2 linked regions of the Xenopus tropicalis genome follow. The protein of the gene in region 2 interacts with the protein of the main gene of each other region in a biochemical or structural test. Links are inferred from orthologs where the notes say so. Each region holds a gene or a part of one and is shown on either strand. Other genes may lie near its edges.

Region 1 (7,987 bases), on a different chromosome or scaffold from region 2:
CGTGTATGGGCACCTTTAGAGTAGATCTATGCTGCCTTTTGCAATCCTTCTGAACATTGCTCTGTCCTATGTTTACAGAAGAACCTCTATCAAAGCCAGTTACAAATGATTCAGTACATTGGCCCATCAGACAATGAATACATATACATTGATTTCAGTATCTTGGAGTATGATCTAAAATGGGAGTTCCCTAGGGAAAATCTGGAATTTGGTACGATAATGACAATCTCCAATATTGTTTTGTAATTTAAATAAATAATACACAAAACTAACTAAATATTTTTAATCCTAGGGAAAGTATTAGGTTCTGGGGCGTTTGGAAGGGTGGTGACCGCAACCGCATATGGTATTACCAAGCCAGGGGTCTCACTTCAAGTTGCTGTAAAAATGCTCAAAGGTATGCTGACATATCCACAGTAGTTCAATGCATTATGGGCTGACTGAAGGCTACTCTACTGGCTTAAGGAAGTTTTCAAATGAGTATATAGTATATTCACAAGTGTGCTTTTTACATCTGAAACATCCCCAGCTTTTATATTTTTAAGCTTCTCTACCCAGTAGATAGATAGAAATGGCTTAACTAGAGGCTACTGGGGCCCACTGCAAATTCATGTTAGGGCCCCAAAACATTGCTAAGTTGACCAACTCTACCAAGATATATTGAAATTGCTCATTAAATGAGAAATATACCCCCCCCCCAACAATGTAAGTCTCTATTAAAATACATTACATAGAACAGCCCATATGTAAAACCCTGCTTCATCTAAATAAACTATTTGTGCCATGGATTTAATAGCATTACCATTTCACAAAAGTGATACATTTTTTTGGTGTTTCAATACTTATTTGGAGGTCTGTTCCCTATAACCTTGAAACATCCAATTAGATCCCAAAGGCTGCTTTTTGCTCCCTGTTACTGGGACAAAGCTATTACACCAGTTACCCTCTTTGTCGGGTTGTACCAACATGGCTTTTAAATTGCAGCAGGAGCTTTATCACACAGTCCTAAATCCATCCAAAGACAAACTGCAAAAGGGCTCAGGTGCATCAATAAAAATCCCAACAAATTTTATTCACCTCTTCCACGTCTAACAGGGACCTGGTGCCAATTTCAATATTTCCAATACTGAACTTTATTACTTTTTAAGAATATGTTTTGGTTGTTTATAGTGTCAGTACAGCTCATGTGCTAGTATATGGTGAAGACATACCCAATGCCAGATACTGCTGTGAAACCTTTTGAAGAACATTTTAACATCATAAGAATAAGCATGAAAAGGGACAGGAACGTGTAGTCAAGTCACCTTAACCACCTCTAGTTCCAACATCAGTGACATTAGTGGACACAAAGTGGTTTATTATGAACCTGGAAGTCCTTTTCTTGACTGGTTTGACCCTTATAAATAGTCATCACAACACTTGTGTTACCCTGTTCCCATGTGACAAGTCTGAAAATAAGAATTATATATCCCTGAAAGACTAGAAAATCAGTGTTGTAGGATCCTTTATAACTATGGACCTGTTATGGTTCCATGGCTAAATACACAGGCAAAATAAGGTTTAAAAATATATTTGGCATTTTTTATTTTCACAGAGAATGCTGATGGTTCGGAAAAAGATGCGCTTATGTCAGAACTAAAGATGATGACTCAAATTGGGCACCATCAAAACATAGTCAATATGCTGGGAGCGTGCACAGCGGCAGGTAATTATGTTACTCTTCTATCCTGTTTGAGAATTGGGTATGTTTGTATTAAACACCCTTAAATGTTATTTCTGACCCACGTAAGGGCAAATTCTTCAGTACAGTAAGAGTGATCAGCACTTAGTCTGGTCTGTAAAATAAATAGTTCAACAAAAAAGTAAAACATTACACAGCTTGTTCCAGACTTCACCATGCTTAAAGGGATTCTGTCATGATTTTATGGTGTAGATTTTATTACTAAATTACAAAATGCACCAGGGGTGGGCCAAGCCGTGTACATTGCAAATAATTCACTCTACCATTTAAGATTTTATTCCTGAACTAATAAATCTATTTTTTACCTGTAATATTGGTGTGTAGGCGCCATCTCAGTGCATTGTGCCTGAGTCTGAGCTTTCAGAAGGAGCCAGCGCTACACATTAGAACTGCTTTCAGCTAACCTATTGTTTCTCCCAGCGCCGGATTTCAAAAGCAGCCGCCCCTAGGCCGTCCCCCATTCGCGCCCCCTGCGCATGCGCGAACAAGCCCCCCATGCCGCGCCGCGTCGATGCAAGCGCGCATGAGCAGGCATTTAACTCCCATACGGAGCAGTGGGGAGAAATCCCCACTGCTCCGTATCGGAGCAAAATTTCAAAATTTCGTTGCGGCGGGGCGGCATGCCGCCCCTAAATTTGTGCCACCCGGGCCTTTGCGGCCTCTCCGCAAATCCGGACCTGGTTTCTCCTACTCAATGTAACTGGAGTCAGGGCTGGAAAGTGTTTTACTATTGAGTGTTATTCTTATATCTCCCACTAGGTGGGGCAAGGGAGCATTTTTAGCAATGCAGGTGTCAGTGAGCTGTTATCTTGTAATCTGCTCGTTGATATCACTCCAACTTGTAGCATTAAAGAGAGACTGAAGCACAAGTCGCATGGCTGAGGGCACTTGGGAAACTAAGAATATGTCTAAATGGATTGCAATGCAGGATTCTGCTGGAGGAGCACTATTAACTGATGCATTTAGTAAAAAACATTTTTCACATGACAGAATCCCTTTAAGTTTTATGCTGGCCTCTGCAAAGGAATACCTTGGCTGTCCAATAGCTGGTGTACGCAGTTCCTCTGACAATTCTCTGCAGTTTTACTATGCTTTATACCAAGCTGGGGTTGTTCTGAGAACAACTGCTATACCCCATTTGTATACAGCTGCCTTGAGCCTTTGTAGCCTGATTGCTTATAATGCTGCCATGTCATAGTGATTTATACTCTCTTTAACCAACAACAGGACCTGTTTACCTAATTTTTGAATACTGTCGTCATGGAGATCTTCTAAATTATTTGAGAAATGAACGAGAAACATTTCACAAAACATGGACAGATGTTGTCAAGGACCATAACTTTAGTTTCTACCATAATTTTACTCAGCACCAAAAACCCAGGTAAGATTCAATCCAAGAACAAAAAACGTTTCTCCTAATTCAGTTCCAGTTTTTTCCCTTAGACGTCAATAGAGTTTTCCCATTTTAAATAGTGAATCTGCCCCATTTCGCTTCTCTGAAAAATTTGCAGATCTTTAAAAAGATTTGCGATACGGAGAAAAATTCTATAAACGTTGGAAATGATGCTTATTAAAAAAAAACTGAGTTTAATAAGATTTAGAATTCACATATTCAAATATTTGAACCAAATGAAAATGTTGACAAATAGGCCACCCCATGTTACATAAATAGCTGATATTTACACAGTAGATTGTATACTGAATAATGTACTCCTTTTCTCTGCCCGATACAATTACACCTATTTTGACTTTAATAGATGAATGATTTCTGTGATTCTCGCTTCACTTGTCTTTAGTGTGAGACGTGAAAGCCTCCTGGACAATGGCTCTTACATGGCCGAGAACAGAACACTGGTATCTGGGAACAGTCAACAAAGATGGGATTTCTCATTAAACTGTGAACAAAATGACAATCAGGAAGAATGTAAGAAATGCAAAAAAACTTTATTGTTTTATATAATAAAAAGAAAAGCTATTACACACTTGGACTGATAGTATACTGTATATGCAGTGTATACAATATAAATGTCATAATATAAGGAAGCTCCCAAACCAGTGCAATTAGAATCAGAATGTATTAATCATCTCTGCAGCATCAGCTACTATGAGAGGAAACCTAATTTTTTGCTTGGAAAACTGAGACAACCCCTAAGCTTAGCTTCTCAACAGCTGCCCAGAGCGCACTGAGCATGTGCAGTGCCACTGGCACTCAAATTCCAAGATGGGGAGCTCAAGGTTAAAGGCCTGGATCATTTCTGCTATAGAGATGCCGAACTGTTAGGCTGGTGCCATGGGTTTAGTTTATAAAATGTGGCATTTGGTATCCAGCTGAATCTATTGTGGAGGATTTGGTGTCTCCAGCTAAAATATATAGATATATGTCATGTCTGTGCCCTGAGCAGGTATAAATGTAGCTACCACTACTCCATCTATAAAGTTATAATCAGGACCAGAACTAGGGGGGGGGGGTGTGATTAAGGCACAATGGAAGGATGTGAAATAAAGCATAAATCATTGCTCCCACTGCTCTGAATTTATCCTGGCTTTAATCAAGTTCCTGGGAGACTGGAAGCAGAGCAGGTCCCTGGTAAGTGGGTGGAGGAGGTAGGGGGTGATGTTTTGGCAAGCCAGCCAATGGGCAGGTGGGCCAGTGAATGGAGGGTGACGAGCAGGGGGTAGTACAAGAGGTTTTGCCTTGGGCAGCTGTATCTCTTGACCCAGTACTGGTTATAATGATTGAATATTTAATACTGCAAAAACAGTGATATTGTCCCCTTGAATGGAAGTGTTTAGCAGCATTACTAGCCATGCCAACTCCTCTCCTGTGCCTGAGATATATCTTTGAAAACAAATGGGCAGACTAGTAAATTTTATTTGATCCAGTTTCTTTTAATCTGAAATAAAAATATTATTGCTTGTGTTTTATCACATAACACAATTATTTTTTCCCTCTTAAGTAATCAAATATGAAAACACAAGATGTTATGATGAAGAAGACCTGCATGTTCTGACATTTGAAGACCTGCTGTGCTTTTCATATCAAGTTGCCAAGGGGATGGAGTTCCTTGAGTCAAAACTTGTAAGTTTACTTGGTTTTAAAATATATTTCTTTCTTTGAGGATAAAATAATTATTGGTACAGTATAATTCATTATTTTATTTTGACTGATCTTTGCCATAGGTACCAGATTGGGTGAAACTATATGAGAGATTGGAATTTCAGATATGCCAACTAACTCCTGATATCTGATTATAAATAAATGACCCATATATGCTGAGATACACGGCCCAGAGAATTTAATGCTTCATGTGAACCTTCTCTGATCCTTACAAACCTCTGTAGGCCCCTGGGACTAATATTGCTGCTATGAAAACTGATAGTCCAATGAGTGGGGATGAATACAAAATTCTGATAACCAATCATTTCCTTGCACAGTGTATCCACAGGGATCTCGCAGCAAGAAATATCCTGATAACCAATGGGAAAGTGGCCAAAATATGCGACTTTGGACTTGCTAGAGATATTGAGAATGACTTAAACTATGTGGTCAAAGGCAATGTAAGTGACATTTTGTTATTATAATCTACTGTTCTTGAGGAAGGGAAAAGGGTTTGGGCAGGAGTGGTCAACCTGTGGCCCTAATGTTGTCCAAGCTGGAATGGAAATTTCAAGACCCCTATTTTACATTTTTAATGGGATCATAAAAAGTGGTGTAAAATCCAAGAAAATGTAAAATCTGGGAAATACATTATACATTATACTGTATATTGATGGGACTTCAAAAAAAAGTGTAAAATGAGAGAAAACTTAAAATCAGGGTATGTAAAATTGAGATGTAACTGTAGCTGGAACAAATGAAGACAAAATAGACAAATAATTCTTGGATGTATGGCTGCTGAGAATGACCATACGCCAAGGTGCAGATGAATAGGAAGTGCTAAACCAAAAGGCAAATGACCTATAGTCACAATTGATACCCAGATATAATTCCTACCTATCTATCCCTTTGATCTTCACCCCCATGCCTTAATGCCTCTCTGTGCAACTCAACTGCCAATAATCCTCCTTCCTTTTCTAGGCCACTCAAAGTCTCTCCCCACCGTACAATGTGAATAGGCTCTGGGAACAACATGCCTTTTTACTGCTATTAGTGTTATCTATAACTTAATTATATAATTGGCCTGTATCTCTAACTGTTTGGTTTGCTTCTATTTTTTTTGTAGGCTCGTCTGCCAGTCAAATGGATGGCACCAGAAAGCATATTTGAAGGCATATATACCATAAAAAGTGATGTGTGGTCATATGGCATATTACTGTGGGAGATCTTTTCTCTTGGTGAGAATTCTATAAATGATATAGACAAGTGTGTGCGTTATTTTAAAGAGTAGCTGCTTCACTTTCCTGGAAGATCCTTCTTTTTTCTTGAAACTTTATAGTTTTTGTATTTTTGACGCTGGTTTTTGTGCAACAGCTCGAAAAATTTGAGTTCTTTTGCGACTTTTCCTCACACAGACTTTTCCTATCTGATTTCTTTTAGTAAATTTTATACATTGAAGGAAATGAGTTCAGTCGAGTTCGAAAATGTAAAAAAATTAGAAATAGAATATTGGTAAATGTGCCTCCTTATATTGCTTCTTTTCACAACAGGAATTAATCCCTATCCTGGCATTCAGGTTAATGCCCAGTTCTACAAGCTCCTGCAAAGCGGATTTAAAATGGAACAGCCATTCTACTCCACTAATGAGATGTGAGTATGTATGCTTGCTGAAGGCTAGAACTACTGCGGCTATTGGCGTAACTTGGGATATGTAGAGCCACGCTACTGTCTTTAGGGGCCAAAAACATTATATAGCACAATGGCTTTTCCTTCTTCTCTCCTAAAGAACTATAGATAGGTAGCTGTAGATAGCACCATTCTATTTGCATAGTAACCTAGAGCAGAAATAATATAGGAGAGACCTCATTTTATACTATATTAATAAGAATTAGAAAATATAAAAATAGTAACTCTGAATGATTTATATATTAAGCAAAAGCTTAAGCGGCAGGGGTTGCAAAAGTATTAGTAGAAGTGCGAGATAATATTTTATTTTGGGTTTAGAGTTAACATAGAGCATGGTGCCACCTGCTGGATGTCTGAAGTCCAGCCCAAATCTTACCCAAACTCATTTTAGTTGTCATTGCACCTATTGTACCATAGTTTTCAGGCCTTGGCCATAGGCCTCTGGGCCCCAGAGTTTCAGAACCACTGATTTAATTAATCCTAAGATCACTGAGCCCCTACAGTTTGCACAAGTAGCAAATTAGCACATCATGCAAACTTTAATAGGCCTGGGAGTATATATCTATATATATATATATATATATATATATATATATATATATATATATATATAGATATATACTGGATATAGAGTGGAGCACACCTGCCACCAAAATAGCAGCCCTGGGTGCAGGTAAAAAAATAGACATATAGAGAAAGAGTACCGCACACTCAGGGACTTGGTGCAAAAGAAAAAAAAAAGGTTTTTTCTCTCTCTCTCTCTCTCTCTCTCTCTCTCTCTCTCTCTCTCTCTCTCTCTCTCTCTCTCTCTCTCTATATATATATATATATATATATATATATATACATATAAACATAGTACCATATATAAGAAGAAAGAGGACCATCATGCCTTATTCCATGAATAGTGATTGTCTTTTTATTTCACCATCATGCTGCAAATTCCAATGTGGATCTCGCAACTAATCGACTAAGACTGGAGAGTGGTCTGGGTGCAGACTTTTTCATTAAATATTTTTTTGTTTTCTAACAAAGTCCCTGTGTGTGCGACTCATTGTCTTGCTATACACATGGTTCTTGCAAGGCATTTGATTATTATTAGGGTGTGCTCTGTTCTTTTCTGTATATATATATATATATATTTTTTTTTTTTTTTTTTTCATTTTATAAAAGTCCTTTTGTTGTATGAGAAAGGTCCTAATAACAACCAAAATGTCAGATTTTTTGTGCAATTTGCTTAATAAAGGTATGAAGTTTTAATAAGGGTGTGCTAGTCTAATAATATTTATATATATACAGTGGTGTGAAAAACTATTTGCCCCCTTCCTGATTTCTTATTCTTTTGCATGTTTGTCACACTTAAATGTTTCTGCTCATCAAAAACCGTTAACTATTAGTCAAAGATAACATAATTGAACACAAAATGCAGTTTTTTAATGAAGGTTTACATTATTAAGGGAGAA
Region 2 (7,987 bases):
GCGGAGTTTCAATTAAGTTTTACCCCCTTGTCCAATAGTATTGTTTATCGAAATAAATCCCTGGCTGTAGAGTTTAATCATATTATATTTACTGTTTTTACTGTTTTTGTTTTTAAAACCTTACTTGGTAATAATTTTCATCAGATTCAAGTGCTTTGGAAAGCCCGAAATCACTGATTTTGGCATAATGTTGTGTGACCAGCAAAACATTTCGTGCTGCCAGGTCTCTGTGGACAAAATTTGTTTCTTCTAAATACTTCATTCCCATGGAAACCTGATGTACAAGCTCTGTTACATTATGTTCTGTGACATTCCTGTAATAGTAAAAAGATGTAAGTAGAAATGTGTTGCACCTAAAAACCATGTTATTAAAAAAAATACAAATTCAAATAAGCTTAATCTATGCTATTATGAATAAAATAAAATGTATACTATAATATTTTTGGTACATGGTGAAAATATCCACAAAATATATTAGAGTTATGGCATCTCTACTAGAAAGTACCCCTACCTAGTAAAGAGGATAGGAACCTAGCTGCTAGGATGAATGTTTTATGAGACTGATGGTAGTGGGGTAGCTCTACATGGACATGAGTGGGAGATCTGGGTAATCCCTGGATCGTATGAACCTACTTACTATATATAAGGCATGGGAAGGTTTGTTTCCCCTCATTAAGGATTAAGGATGAAGGATGTATTTTCCAAAGAATATAGGGGTGAGTCTGTGAACAAATTGCTTGACAGGTAGAATCCTTTCTCAAAGTGCTGTCTAGGTGGTAGGTAACTGAGCAGCTCTATGCCTCAAATTCTAAGAATATGTGAACTGACCAAATATTTCTTTAAAAGGAATCCAGGAGTAAAATCCAGGAGTAAGATTGGTTGGCATGTATACTATATGTCAGTTATTTTTCTATTGAATTGCACAAATATATCATTTAATGCCTAGCTGTTCAGTCCTGTCGAACAATTCACCATATTAGTGGGGTGTATGTCAATGTAAAGGGTGTAAGTGTAATACATACTCTATTGTGGAGCAGGCTGAGGGGATTTCAGCAGCCTCCTGTTATTATAGTGTTATACCCTTAATTTAGAAATTGAATCCACTTGCATTTTACAGTTCCTGTATCCTGCTGTGCACTCTAACATACAATATTGTACATCTAAAAGAATCCATTCAAAATTAGTGATGAGCGAAATCTTTCACCAGGCATGGAAACTCCACCTTTCACCATCTGCAATTTTATTTGCCAAGTGAGGGAAAATAAGCAGCCATATCGTAAAAGTCACGGTTGTGCCAAAAAGTTGCAGTTATCTAAAAAAAAAGGGATGCGTTAGCCACATTTTGCAAATATTTTTGGAGACTTTTCTGCAATTTTGTGGCTTTTTCAGTGAAGCAAAATGGGACAGATTCGCTCATCGCTATTCAGAATAGTACGATAATCACACCTACTACCGCTAGTCACCTTGTGTATTCCCTAAACTCTGCTAAAATCTAAAGTACATGTTTTTGTGCTAAACCAGCATTCCAGCATTTCAGAGATCCAGATTAATAAGGCTGTCCTTCAGAGCTGTCATTGTCAAACCACTACTATAGTTTTTAGGAAAAAAAAGGCACTCCACAGTTGCTTCTAATATCCTAATATTTTACAGTATGGGTACATTTGTCCATTTTTCTTTTGTTCAGTTCTTTTGTTCAGCTCAAACACCAGCAAAGATAAGTCCCAGTGGATGATATACTAATATGGAATGGCCCCAGGAAACCAAACCCTGCTCGCTTGCTTACTTGTTTTTAACCAAGAACTTATTTAGAGGCCCGAGTCCTGCCAGCTCCATGACAAGCATCCACGATTCCCCTTCACAGATTCCAAGCATCCTCACAATGTAAGGGTTATTAAGCAGCTGCATGACTTTGGCTTCTTTGAGCAGCTCATCCTTCATTGACTCATCATTGCTGTCATTTTTGAGAATTTTGACAGCTACTGGTTTTTTAGATCTGTACAAAGGATAAGCATTTGTGTGTTTGTGATACAAATCATTAGCAAAAGTAAATGTTACATGAACCACTAACACTGGCAAAATGCCCAAACATATTGCACTATAATATTCAACATTGCAAGGTTTTTAGTTTTGTTTATGTCAGTAACATCTACTGAGTATTGCTGTCACTTACTTCTGAGATACTGCAGAGAAACTAGATTTGGAATTCTGGGAATGCAGACTATTAGTAAGCAACAAATCAGAGCTCTACAGAGTGTATTTTTTGGTACTTTGCAATGAGAGAGCATTCATTATCTGCTGTCTGCATCATTAATGCAATAATATAGTTAGTCAAAAAATAGATGATCTTTTCCCACACACAAACACACAAAACAAATGGATGCCTTACTTTGATGTCTTTAACTCTCCTTTCTTAACATTTCCAAAGTTGCCAGAGCCTAGCTCAGTTTCAAACAAAGTAAGCTGTTCCCGAGATATTTTGCCATCCATGGGTCTGAACTCATCTGGGTCTTCATATATTCCTCGATAGACATCAGTGTCCATAGGCATAGAATCCATTGTGACTTCTGAGGTGATCAAAGCAATTCAATTAAAGGAAGCTAAATTATATAAAGTGAATATATCCAGTGTCGGACTGGGAACCCAGGGGCCCACCAGAAAACCTTAGACCCTAGGACCACTTTCCAAACAGTTTTTCCTCCTTTCCTCACCCAACCTCTTTATTCTCCCAGTCCCTTTTATTTACATACTAGCATCTATTCTTCCATCTATTTCCCCTCTTTCTTCCTGTTCAGAAATAGGGAATGACCATGAAACAAGCCAAATGGTCAGGAGCAAGAGGGCCCACTGACACCTGGGCCCACTGGGAGTTTTCCTGGTATCCTGGTGGGCCAGTCCGACACTGAATATATCTTGTCAATTCACTTCACCCTATGAGGTTATCAGTTGTGAGAAGTTCCCTGAGACTAATACAGGCAAAGAGATAGCAAGACCAGAAATTCTTGACTTCCTAAGAATTAAAATTTAAATGAAATCAGGCAGTCAGGTCACCTAGTAAATCCAAAATTGAAAACTTAAGCACAGACCAACTAAACTGTTAACAAATTGTTTTAAAACTAACATGGATACATTTAAAAAGTACTTAAGACCACACCCCTTTGAATGTATGTCTTGTAACAGTGCTGTCTAACATCTGTGGTACCGAGGGACAGAATTTTTCTGGCCTACACAGCAGAGGGTGAAAAATGGAGGCCAGTTTTGACCACACCCACTTTAAACCACAGCCATGTTACCACTAAAGTTTTTAAGACCATACTCACATTAATGGTGGTAGTGCATCCATCACTCATATGTAAAATAAGTTTATTATGTCATATTAGGACATACCCTTAAGTTCATATGTCTCCTCCTCCCCTGTCGGTAGCACAGCAACCCCCCAGCACATAATTACATACCTTAGGGTTCCCCTAACAACTATTTACAAAGGCAAACAAACTCCCAGAAAAAACCCCTGCCAGGTTCACCACCAACAGGCAGCATAGGGCAGGCAGAGTATGGCACACAGGCAGCATAGGGCAAGCAGAGTATGGCACGCACAGACAGGGTAGGGCAGGCAGAGTATGGCACAAACAGACAGAGTAGGGCAGGCAGAGTATGGCACAAACAGGCAGCATAGGGCAGGCAGAGTATGACGCACAGGCAGCATAGGGCACGCAGAGTATGGCGCACACAAACAGCATAGGGCAGGCAGAGAATGGCACACACAGGCAGCACAGGGCAGGGCAGGCAGAGTATGGCACATACAGGCAGCATAGGGCAGACAGAGTATGGCACACACAGGCAGCATAGGGCAGGCAGAGTACAGCAGAACAGGCAGTGTAGGGAAGGAGACAGATAAACCTAGCATGATTACATAAGTAATTGATCATGAACAATCCAAGATAAACAGTTGTCGGCACTGCTCCTACAGGAGGTGTAAACAGGTGATCAATGCAGGTGCCTACAGTTTGCAGTCTTACAGGTCTGAACAATGCAGGACCTTACAGATGTGAACAATGCAGTTGATTACAGCCTGAATCTGAGATGTGAACAATGCCAGTTAATCTCAGTGTTGATACAATTTAAAGCTTAAACAGGCACACAAGTGGGGGGTCAAGGGCCAGATGTGGCCCGCAGACCACTAGTTGGACAGCAATGCCTTATAACAAAAAACTGCTAAATGCAAATGCCCTTACATTTAATTTTCTCTATGTACACAACAAAGGAAACCAAAAGAAAAAACTAGAGTGCGTGAAGTTTCAGCAATTAAAGCAGATAATTATGTTTTTAAGAACCAATGCCACCTATCAAGATCTGATAACAGAGTGTATACTGTATGTAACACTTTTGCAATACTGTAATACGTGCCCCCCACAAATGGGCTATATTCATCCATATTTTATGTGAATGTTGTATAATTTTGTATTACCATAATAGATATGACATGTATTTATACATGTCAAATACAAAACAAATGGATACAATATGAAAATTTTTTTCAGCTAAAAGTCACTTACAGGGAGGTGCCCATTCTGATATTTAGGTTTCTTTACTAGTGATGAGCGAATCTGTGCCATTTTGCTGAAAAATGTACAAAAGGTTTTTTTTTGATGTGTCTTTATTTTTTGACACACGCGGCTTTTTTTTGTTGCACAGCAAATTTTTGCGCCCGTTTCATGAAAGAATCCGCCAGTGGTGAAACGGACGTAAAAATTTGCTGTGCAACAAAAAAAGCTACGTGTGTCAAGAAATTTTTTGTGCCCGCTTCACCATTGGCGGATTTTTTCATGAAACAGGCGCAATAATTTGCAACAGAAAAAGTTTGCTGTGTGACAAAAAAATGACACACATCGAAAACACTTTGCTCATCACTATTCTTTAGAATATGCCTGGTGCAGCTTCAAATCTGACATTTTGTTGTAAATGTGTTAAATGAAACTTACCTGCATTTGGCCTATGTACATAAGTATTTATTGATGTAGAACTTCCGTGCCGCCTGGGAGCCCCTGCAGTACTCAGTGTCATCTAAATATGTAAAGAAAATAGATCTGTGTTAAATATGACCATAGTGTTTTTAAAAAGTTAAGTATAAATTAAATTATCATGGCAAGATGAAAATCAAGCTGTCTTTATAGAAAAAAATGTCAGTAGTGTGTATATAATAGCATGTTCCAAATGATCTTGTTTAACTTGCCATGACACCTATGCTCATTTTTGTTGTACTTACAACTTCAAATTACGATTCTTTACATACAAATTTGACAAAATACATTTTATTTTTTTTCTTTACAGTTCATTATGGCACATTGATAGTAAGGGTCATTCTCTAACACTGGTGCAAATGTACACTGCTGCAGTAACCAGTAACAATCAGACTTTTGCATTCATAATTGTAACTGCACTAAACAGACCAAAGCTGACTGGTTGCTATAGTTGCCGATTAGTTAAGGGCACTTGCATTGTTTTCATTTTCAAATAAGCCTTAGTGCACATTTGGTTCATAAACTATTTTACTATAAATACTATATAACTAACCAGTCACTTGGTCCACACATTGGGACATATTTACTAAAACTTGCCTAGTTATATTATAAATACATTGGCATAATTACACAACGTATTTTTGCCCCTGATAGTTCTGCACATTACATTTGCAGTGTTGCAGAAAAAAACTTTGTTGAAGATAGACAAGCTGTATTTTTGCATCTTAGTAAATATTACCCATTGTTTCCCTTGCAGGGAATTTGACACTCGCAAAAGAAAAAAAAACTGTAAATAAAAAGGAGCCAGTGTCCAACTGGCCAACCTGGGCACCAGCAAATTAGAAACCTTAGGACAAGAGACCACATTCCAATAGGTTTTTCTGCTGCTCTTCACTTACTTTTGTACCACACTGTCTTGTCAATACATTCTATGATTTCTGCCCTTAATTTATCTCTCCCTTCACCCCTTGGTCCCTTATTCCCCGTTCTAAACCCATCTGATATTTTTCTCCTATTTTCTTCTTTCCCTTAGGGTGTTGTCTACTACTTTATCATTCCTCTCTTCAATCTATTCTATTCTCTCTCATGCAGAAATGGCCATGGTACTAACATAGAGGCCAATTAGGTGGTTGAGTAGAAGGCCATTCTGGTTCCAAAGCTCACCACAAATGAAAATCTCTTTAATAAGAACCTGGATTCTATCTGTTAGTTAATCTGGGAAAAGCCCACTTCATTCTTTTTTTAGCACACATGGAGCTTTTGTTAAGCCAGACAAATACCAGAAAAAAAATATTATACATATCATTCTTATTTCTGGAATTTATAGACTAAAGAGCCCTCCCAACAATTAAAATCTTCCTTATATATTATGATTCTGTGGTGTCAATTATGTGGTAACATCTCTGTCACTGACCGCAATCACTGACACCACATCAATATACTGCACATATTTTATGACACATGATACATTTGTGATAATATACATGATTTCCCTTTTTTCCAAATTTTTTGATGTCAACTTGTTTTGTGTTATTTTCAAACCACACTAGGGGCCAAAAGCAGAGTGTTAAGAGCAGAGATGTCAAATGCGTGCCCTTCAAATGTCATTAACAACAAATCCCAGCATCTTCAGTAGGTCAGCTGGTAGTTGAGTCTATAGCAGGTGGAGGGCAGAAACCGACATCAATGGTTAATGTAATTTTAGCAGCTTACCACACAGTTAGTAATATTAAAGCAGCACTGCTGGCTCATAAATAAACAAACAAGATGTTTGTAGCAGTTTTCAAGCGGATGAAGAAGTGGCTAAATGAATGTGAAGGGAGAAATATATAATTTCTGCAACTGAATTATGTGTAGGCTGCAGTTAAAATGGCATAATATAATTATTTCATATTTTCTCTGGAAGTCCCCACCCAAAACCAATGATTAGGGGAAACAGTGACTTCAGATTTGTTTGGGTTCCCTTAACAACCATATTAAACATAATGGAACTCAGGACAGCGATGGCATCATGTTTACAAGCTTCTCAGAGAAAGCATTGGTGCATACAATGCCTAGAACAGCTGTTGGCTGCAGACATCTATAGTGTATGGCAGTTAGACTGCCTAAGGCACAAGCTATAATAAGCATGGGCATGATTCATACTGGCGGATGGACTTGTTCCCTCTATCTATTGTCCCCCATAGACAGTTCCATATTGGGAAGTGACTGCCAACAGTTCTTGGCATTTTGAGAACTGCAGTTTTTACTGTGAAGATGACAGCATTTCCCTTCAGAGGATAATTGTTATTTTAATTTTTAATTTTAAGAATGTAAAAATCTGAACTTAACCAACAACTACAAAACTACTGCATTACTGTCTTTAGTGAGGTGGGGCAGGGGCAATTGCCCTGGGCCTCATACATAGTAGGGCCTCATAAGCAGTGGTTTTAGGTAGGAAATACACCACGGTATAATTTATAGAAGAGAAGGTAGTGCAACACTGAATGTAATAGTAGGAACAATACATTCTGGGAAGAAACAGTGAGACTGTAGGACAGCAGATATAGTAAAGCAACATGGTGACAGTAACACTTATCAGTGTTATTTAGACTTCATTTGTTCTGAAATACAAAAGCAAGGACCCACTGACATCAGTCAAGTGATTCTGGGAAAAGTATTTCAGCAATGGATCCGGGGATTTAAGTTACACAGATATAGTCCTACGTCTTATAACGCTCCCACAAAAACTGCTCTGCCCTGGGCCCCCACCACTAAAGACAGCCTTGGCAGAACTAAATAATGCAGAAATCCGCAATGCTGCTTTAATGTAAATAAGCTGAGTCATTAATTTAGCGCCTGTCTATATTTTGGAAAGCCTTAGATAGTGTGTACAGAGCACCTTTTTGTTGCCAGGCTTGGGGAAGGAGTAGGATTTGAATCTCGAGATAATTCCACCTGCTGACCAACTCTAGAAACCACAATGGCAG

What was found. The genes of interacting proteins can lie anywhere in the genome.
Region 1: of the proteins of syk (region 2) and flt3, one has a biochemical effect on the other in vitro, tested with the Homo sapiens proteins (2 studies listed by IntAct, with this or other methods). The link is inferred for Xenopus tropicalis from reciprocal best matches to the Homo sapiens genes SYK and FLT3.

What each region holds. Positions count from the first base shown.
Region 1 is NC_030678.2:155,026,424-155,034,410, forward strand, and holds part of flt3 (receptor-type tyrosine-protein kinase FLT3), read left to right. Parts: intron 1-78; coding exon 79-211; intron 212-292; coding exon 293-397; intron 398-1,594; coding exon 1,595-1,705; intron 1,706-2,968; coding exon 2,969-3,122; intron 3,123-3,537; coding exon 3,538-3,665; intron 3,666-4,698; coding exon 4,699-4,820; intron 4,821-5,176; coding exon 5,177-5,299; intron 5,300-5,964; coding exon 5,965-6,076; intron 6,077-6,388; coding exon 6,389-6,488; intron 6,489-7,987. UniProt on the Homo sapiens protein: Tyrosine-protein kinase that acts as a cell-surface receptor for the cytokine FLT3LG and regulates differentiation, proliferation and survival of hematopoietic progenitor cells and of dendritic cells.
Region 2 is NC_030677.2:138,466,522-138,474,508, reverse strand, and holds part of syk (tyrosine-protein kinase SYK), read right to left. Parts: intron 7,969-7,987; coding exon 7,900-7,968; intron 5,062-7,899; coding exon 4,980-5,061; intron 2,565-4,979; coding exon 2,387-2,564; intron 1,994-2,386; coding exon 1,784-1,993; intron 315-1,783; coding exon 125-314; intron 1-124. UniProt on the Homo sapiens protein: Non-receptor tyrosine kinase which mediates signal transduction downstream of a variety of transmembrane receptors including classical immunoreceptors like the B-cell receptor (BCR).